2 linked regions of the Ovis aries genome follow. The main gene of each other region encodes a partner of the protein of the gene in region 2 in a complex. Links are inferred from orthologs where the notes say so. Each region holds a gene or a part of one and is shown on either strand. Other genes may lie near its edges. The genes, in order: CHP1 and SLC9A3.

Region 1 (2,993 bases), on a different chromosome or scaffold from region 2:
TATATTAGAGGACATCAAAGGAACAGAGGGTGCAGGTGGCTTTTTATTTTTCAAATTTTAGTAAGAGAGTCCTCGTGACCCCTAAGTCTCTCGTAATTCCTGGCTCTCGGTCCTGCAGGTGCTACGCATGATGGTCGGAGTGAATATCTCAGATGAGCAGCTGGGCAGCATTGCAGACAGGACCATCCAGGAGGCTGATCAGGATGGGGATAGCGCCATCTCTTTCACAGAATTTGTTAAGGTCAGTCACTTACCTCTTCGCTTGAAGAACTTAAATACTACTATGCAGGAGAGAGGGAGAAAAACATTAGAGAAGAGCTTGAAACAGCATCTCCTGTTGTAACCTTCGTAACTGTAGCTGGGTTTGTTTTTGTTTTTTTTTAAACAGGTTTTGGAGAAGGTGGACGTAGAACAGAAAATGAGCATCCGATTTCTTCACTAAAGGACTGAGACCAAACTATTCCTTGCTTTCTAGTATTTAAGAACTGGAACTTGAAACCCCTCCTATCCACCAGCCCCACCTCCACCCCATCCTTCCCCTTCTCCCAAAGTACTACTGCTGTTGCATGACAACCCCAAATATGTTCTGTCAACGCAAACCTGCCTTTGGTGTATAAATAGGGCATTACAGAATGGTACAGCCAGTCTAATTCTGTTTAGTGTTGTTCGCCGGATATCTCCATTTCTAAATGTCACCTTCCCTTGTTCTGCTGCTGAGTGCCATGCATCCATCCAGTCTGAGAAAGTGAGAGGGAATCAACCGAAGAACAGCCAGCAAAGCTCTTTGGCTGGATGTGAACCGTAGCCAGGCTGCCTTTCCGCCAGCTTGGCTTTGGCATGCTCCTTCATCCTTTTTTGTATGTTCTTTGCTTCCACTTCTCTTCTCCCCAACCTACCACTCTCTTAGTCTTTCAGTATCCCTGGTTTTTATTAAGCTTCCATCCTCCCTGTTCTACTTGGCATCCTCAGTTACACCTGTTAAATATATTTCAGACTTGGCAGTATAGTTCAGTGATCTGGCAGTTTTTAATCTACCTTTACTCTTAAATGGGTATCTGGGATGTTGCCTCCCCAGGAGCTCTTTAGTAACCAACACTTCTCTCAGAAGAATGTCTTGACCATCTCTTGGTCCCCTCTGCTCTGTCACCAAAGGGCTGTTGGTTAGAGAAGCTCTTGAAAGATAAGAAAGATAAGAGGTGTAGAGCCAAGTCTTCTAGGTGGCTTGCCCAGGTCACTCTACCTCTGGCCTCTGACTCTCAACACACATACCTACATGGCTGCTCTCGTTAGTACAGTGTTGATTCTCTAGAAATTAGCCGTATGCCTGCAGCTTGCTTCATCTGAGGATAATGTCACCACCAGAATGGCTGCTCTGACCGTTTGCTTGGTGTCTTTCTCATGGCTTTTTGAACAAGGAGGCTGGGCACCCTAAAATATTCCCACCTCTACAGCATGGTTTATGCCTTAGTGTGATGTGCCCTGGAATTCTTTTCACTTCACATTTCTAAGTAGAAAGATAAGTGCCTAACTTATCCCAGGCCATAAGATTTAAAAATTGTCCTCAGTGTCTTGAGGTTTTGCACAAAATTCTCTCTGAATTTTACACCTGGAACAAGTTAATGCCGGATGCCATAGTCAGGTCTTAATATAGGTCCAAAATATTGAATGTATTGTATCATTAGCAGCCTGGTTACATTGACTTCCTAGTTCCTCTCGTACACTACTGCTAATCCCTTAGGAATGAGAGCTCTGGCACTGGTGACACAACCTGAAGTGGCATTACAAGCCTTTGCTTGAACCAGAGCAACTCCTCTGCCCCAAGGAAGCTTAGTATGGATGTCACTGAATCAGGCTGTGGTCATCCTAAGATCTGTCCTTATGCATCTCTTCATCCATATATCTGTCCTTGGCTGATTCTCTCTGACTCATTGCTTGCTTGCTTCTTTCCTTGCTTTGGAAGGCTATCCAAGATGTATACACACTACTTTATGAAGGGAATTGCTTAAAAAAAAAAAAAAAACTGCAAAGGGTTTGGGAAGAGTGCTTAAGAAAGAGTGGCCAGGCTGGATGACTCAAGTATAAATGAGAGAGGATTTCATAGAGAAGTATCAGTGTGACTTTGTGATCAAGTGATGTAATATAGGAATTGTATAAAAGGGAAGAACTGTCCAACACTGGTCTGTTCGTGAGGTACTTCAGAGGCTCCTTGACCTGCATATTTAAAGTTCCTAAGATGATGGCCTTTTCCTCCTCTTGGCTGTGTAGCAAACTGTTTTAATCCACGGTTGTGCCTTATTGTTCCATTAAAATTGTACTCTTCGATCCATCAATAAATACTTGTGGTTAAAACAAAACAACATGGTTGATTTTTGTCCTCATGTTTTATAAGTATTTTTCATGACTCAGTCCCTTTCTTCAGGTTTGAAATCATGTGTCTTCTTTACTTGGCTTTATGTCTGTGCTATCAAATGCATTTATTTGAACATAATTGAGCATGATGTGAGATTCTGTCAGCATTTATATCTGCTGCTGCCTGGACATACAAGGCAGAGGTGTTCGTCTAGTGGCCAGCACTGAATGCATCTGAGTGTGATTGACAGCCTCGGCCACTTCCCACTCTTTCCAGGTTGGATTCTATTTCTGTTCTTGAACCCCTGACTTCTTAAATGTAGAAGAGGTCTAAAATGGGGTATCTGTCTATTGCTTGTTATTAATTTGTCCACAGTCTAAGTGACATAGTATGCCCAGCTATTCAGTTCAGTTCAGTGGCTCAGTTGTGTCCGACTCTTTGTGACTCCATGAACCGCAGCACACCAGGCCTCCTTGTCCATCACCAACTCCTGGAGTCCACCCAAACCCATGTCCCTCAAGTCAGTGATGCCATCCAACCATCTCATCCTCTGTTGTGCCCTTCTCCTCCTGCCCTCAATCTTTCCCAACAAAAGGGTCTTTTCAAATGAGTCAGCTCTTTGCATCAGGTGGCCAAAGTACCA
Region 2 (3,813 bases):
ATGAGCGTTCAAGCCTGGGCTCAGCTCCCACCAGACCCCGTGGGGCTCAAGCCCATCTCCCAGAAGGCAGCACTTTGGGGCCCCTGCATCCTGGGCAAGCATCCCCCGCTACTCATCAGCACTCCTCTTTGTGAGTACAGGGCTCCTCCTAGGGGCTTGGTGCCCTGGGCTGGCTACCTTGACACTGTCTGTGGGCCTCTGGGGGCCTGGGTCCCACACTGGAGGGGAGGGGGGCAGCTCTGCGGGTCAGAGCCCTGGGAAAGGCTGCGTGGGGGCAGAGCAGGTGCTGCAGCCCCTGGAGAGCTCTATGAAGACGCCAACTCCTTAATTAAAAGACTAAATAGATCAAATTCTTCTCCCCCATAGCGAGTTCCCGCCCCACCCGGGGAAGTGGCCAGGCCTCCCCAGGGCAGGTCCGCCGGGCATGCGGGGGCTGGTGGGTGGCCGATCAGCGAGGAGGGACTCACGCCAGGATGGCCGACAGGGACAGCATCTCAGACGTGAGGTAGGACAGGTAGGAGAGGACAAACACGAAGCCAGGCTCGATGATGCGCACGTGCTTGGTGAAGCGTGTCACCAGGGAGAGCAAGAAGGCGAACACGATGCCCACCAGCGTGCCCCCCAGGCTCACCACGAAGAAGGACACTGCAAGGACAAGGAGTGCCGCTGGCCTCTGAGGGGCCCTCTGTGGCCGAGGCGTGGGCGAGCTGGCCTGACTGACTGACTGTTCCCCATTGAGGTCCCGGGTGACCCCAGAGGCACCAGCAGCTCAGCAAACAAGAGGCTGATTCTCTCAGCAGACAGAGGCTCTGGCTCCACGGGGAGAGGAAAGCACTGCACCAAAGGAGGCCCGGCTACCCCACTGCGGGGGCAGCGCTGAGACCAGCAGCATTGGTGGGGGGTTGACAGCAAGGACCAGGCTCTGGGCTCCCAGGAATGCCATCTGTAACTGTCCCTGCCCAGAGGGATTCCCAGGACCCCAGATACAGGATCCACGTCCTCCCATGGGTCTGTGGGGGCAATGATCCTCGCCACCCAGGGTGGCTGGGGCCTGGGAAACCAGATTAGTGTAACCTGCTGGGGAGGGCGGGGGCCTGTCACCAAGACTTTGAAATGGAAGCATGTTTTCCTGCACAGGCTGTGGGTTCCAGCCTGGCACAGATGCTGCCCCACGGGGTCCATGTTCCGGAGAAGACACTGGCCCTGGCTCCCCGCTGGAACACAACTGGCGAGCCACACACCTATTCCTTTCACGCAATCCACGCCGGTCACCTTGTCACCACCCAAAGTCACAAAAGATTCAAACACGTTGTACAGGACCTGCGGGGACACAGACAGACAGGACCCCGTCAGCCTGCGGTCAGCACTGACTCCTCCCCGTCTCGGGCCCCAGGCCTGGTGAGACTTGGGCCAAGTGAGGAGACCATGGCAGCAATCTGAAGGGAAACTGAAAACCGCCAGGGCAAACTCATCTGGGGCAGTAGTGTGGGGTCTGGGGTGGGAGGACAGTCTGGGAGGAACAAGAACCCTCAGAGAAAACCTGGCCTTCCCCACCCTCAGTGAAGCAGGGCGGCCACAAAGCCAGCCTGCTGTGATGATCTTTAGTTTGCTTCCCAAGACACAACCAGAGTTTCATTTGCTGCGACTTTGCCATTATGCGGCCCCCGTCAGTGGGGACGCACCCCTGGCATCTTTGCCTGTTGACATTCAAACCTCATCCTGCTATGAAGTGAGGTGAATTGAAGTCACTCAGTCGTGTCCGACTCTTTGCGACCCCATGGACTGTAGCCTACCAGGCTCCTCCCTCCATGGGATTCTCCAGGCAAGAGTACTGGAGTGGGTTGCCATTTCCTTCTCCACATCCTGCTATGACGTGGTGATAAATGCCTAACACCTTATCCAAGGCCGCAGGGCTGTATGTGTGGGAGGTGCCCGCTGTGCTCTGAGCGAAGCTCCTGAAGGATGCGCTGGCTCCACGTCCAGGGGAGGGGCCTGGGGGCGACCCAGGTCGGGGGGGGCTGTGGGGCCCTTGGGAAGAAATGTTCCTGTGTCTCCAGGTCTGTGCTCTCCAGGGGGCAGAAGGCCCTCATGGGGCAGATCGCAAAGCTGTGTTTATGGAAGGAAATCTGGTGGTGTTGCTGCATGGGGCCTGCGCCGGAGGGATGGCACAGCTGTGAAGGTTGGGGGAGCAGGGCGCAGCGCCCTGCTTCTCCCGCTTCCTCCTCCGTAAGGAAGACGAGCCTCACAGGAACCAGGGAGGAGCTTCCTGGCTTGGGCAGAAGTTCACGCGTTTACAGGACATGGAGGGGCTTTTAGAGCAAAGAGAAGACTGGATGCCCACTATGTCTGCGAAACTGCAGGGCTGAGGAGACCCCAGGCAGGTGCTCAGCCACACTGCTGACCAGCCCTCTGTGCTGCCCCTGGGACGTCACTGCTCCAGAGCCCATGGCCGGTGTGGGGAGGATGGCCTCTGATATCCAAACGGGCCACCCTTTTCTCTGGGCTACCCAGAGCCGACGTGGACCGCCAGCCCTCAGGCCGTGGGCACACTGGGCCTGGCTGAGTTCCCCTCCTCAATCCCCATAACACTGTGATCACTCACAACTCCACAGTCAAGGGCAGACACGAGGCCTGCAGCCGAAGCTGGGATGCCAGCAGTGAGACCCTGGAACAGGACCAGGAGGTGCATCCTGCTGGGCACTCACCACGGTGACAGCATCGTTGAGCAGGGACTCCCCGAAGACGATGATGAACAGCACCTCGTTGACGTGCACCTCCTCAAACACGGCCAGCACGGCCACCGGGTCCACGGCGGCAATCAGGCTGCCGAACAGGAGGAAGTCCAGTAGCCCGATGTTCAGGTCTCCTGGAAGACGAGTGGGCCGTCAGGGGGAGCCCTCCTACCTGGAGGGCCAGTCCTCCCCGCGCTGGCCATGCCAGGAAGGTCCCAGGGACAGGACTGTGGCTGCTGGACTGTGTGTTCCGGGACCCTCCCCAACTTTGGCCTTGCCCACCCGCGGGGCCTCTTGATGGCCCGGGGTTTCTGGGTGCTGGGCTGCTGTGCCCAGATGCCCTCAGGACGTCTGCTGCCTGGCCCACCTGTGGCCACCCAGGCTGACCCTTCCTTGGCAGTGTCCCCCAGCCTTGGGGCAGACCTCAGAGCCAGGAGCGGGCTGACAGCAGAGACCAATCCCTGTCTGCCAGCTGCAGGGCCGGGCTCTGGGTGTCCCCTGGGCACTGCCCTGCTCCATGACCTTGGCTGACACCCAGCCATGACCACTCCATCCCAAGGACGGAGCACAGGCCTCAGACGGCCGTGGCCCCTCAGGGAGCCAAACCCCAGAACGTTCCCTTGGCCTGGGGGCCAGAAGTGGCCTTAGGTTGTCCCAACTACCTGAGGGCACCACCAGGGATGGCAGTCTAATGTCACCTGCATGGGCCCTGTGGCCCGGGCGTTGGGGAGAACTGGCCGGGTGTGTTTGGCACCACGCCAGCCTCGGGGGGCTTCCAGGGCTGCGCTTGGGGATGGTGCCGGATGGCTGTGGGGACTTGAGGAAGCCTGCACTGTCCGGGGTGAGGACAGGGTCCTAGGTGACTCCTGCAGATGGGGTGCCTTAGCCCTCAGTGTGTTTCTCAATGTGTCTTCTTTGTCACTGTGATTTCAAGGGAGGTCATGAGCCCCACTGGGGGGGGCTCGGGGTGCTTGCTTTTCTGTCAGAGGGCCTGTCCCTTGTCTGGTTCTGCTGGTGGAAGTGTTTGAGGCCGAAGCTGAGCTGAGACTGCTGCCCAGGGAGGTGGTAGCAGCCCCACCTC

The links.
Region 1: the proteins of SLC9A3 (region 2) and CHP1 are in contact, whole or in part, in a cryo-EM structure (PDB 7X2U), measured with the Homo sapiens proteins. The link is inferred for Ovis aries from reciprocal best matches to the Homo sapiens genes SLC9A3 and CHP1. Residues at the interface, in NP_004165.2 of Homo sapiens: Tyr396, Arg397, Met398, Gln400, Glu402, Arg474, Leu475, Asn476, Glu477, Leu479, His480, Gly481, Arg482, Ala483, Phe484, Asp485, His486, Ile487, Leu488, Ser489, Ala490, Ile491, Glu492, Asp493, Ile494, Ser495, Gly496, Gln497, Asn501, Arg504; in NP_009167.1 of Homo sapiens: Arg30, Leu31, Arg34, Leu38, Lys40, Glu49, Phe51, Gln52, Arg53, Ile54, Glu56, Leu57, Ala58, Ile59, Asn60, Pro61, Leu62, Asp64, Ile66, Phe70, Phe83, Leu87, Phe90, Leu115, Phe117, Ala118, Leu121, Tyr122, Leu135, Leu139.

What each region holds. Positions count from the first base shown.
Region 1 is NC_056060.1:34,960,681-34,963,673, forward strand, and holds the end of CHP1 (calcineurin B homologous protein 1), read left to right. Parts: intron 1-118; coding exon 119-343; 3' UTR 344-388; coding exon of another isoform or gene 389-442; 3' UTR 443-2,354; downstream 2,355-2,993. UniProt on the Homo sapiens protein: Calcium-binding protein involved in different processes such as regulation of vesicular trafficking, plasma membrane Na(+)/H(+) exchanger and gene transcription. Involved in the constitutive exocytic membrane traffic.
Region 2 is NC_056069.1:71,676,413-71,680,225, reverse strand, and holds part of SLC9A3 (sodium/hydrogen exchanger 3), read right to left. Parts: intron 2,867-3,813; coding exon 2,706-2,866; intron 1,321-2,705; coding exon 1,242-1,320; intron 646-1,241; coding exon 468-645; intron 1-467. UniProt on the Homo sapiens protein: Plasma membrane Na(+)/H(+) antiporter. Exchanges intracellular H(+) ions for extracellular Na(+) in 1:1 stoichiometry, playing a key role in salt and fluid absorption and pH homeostasis.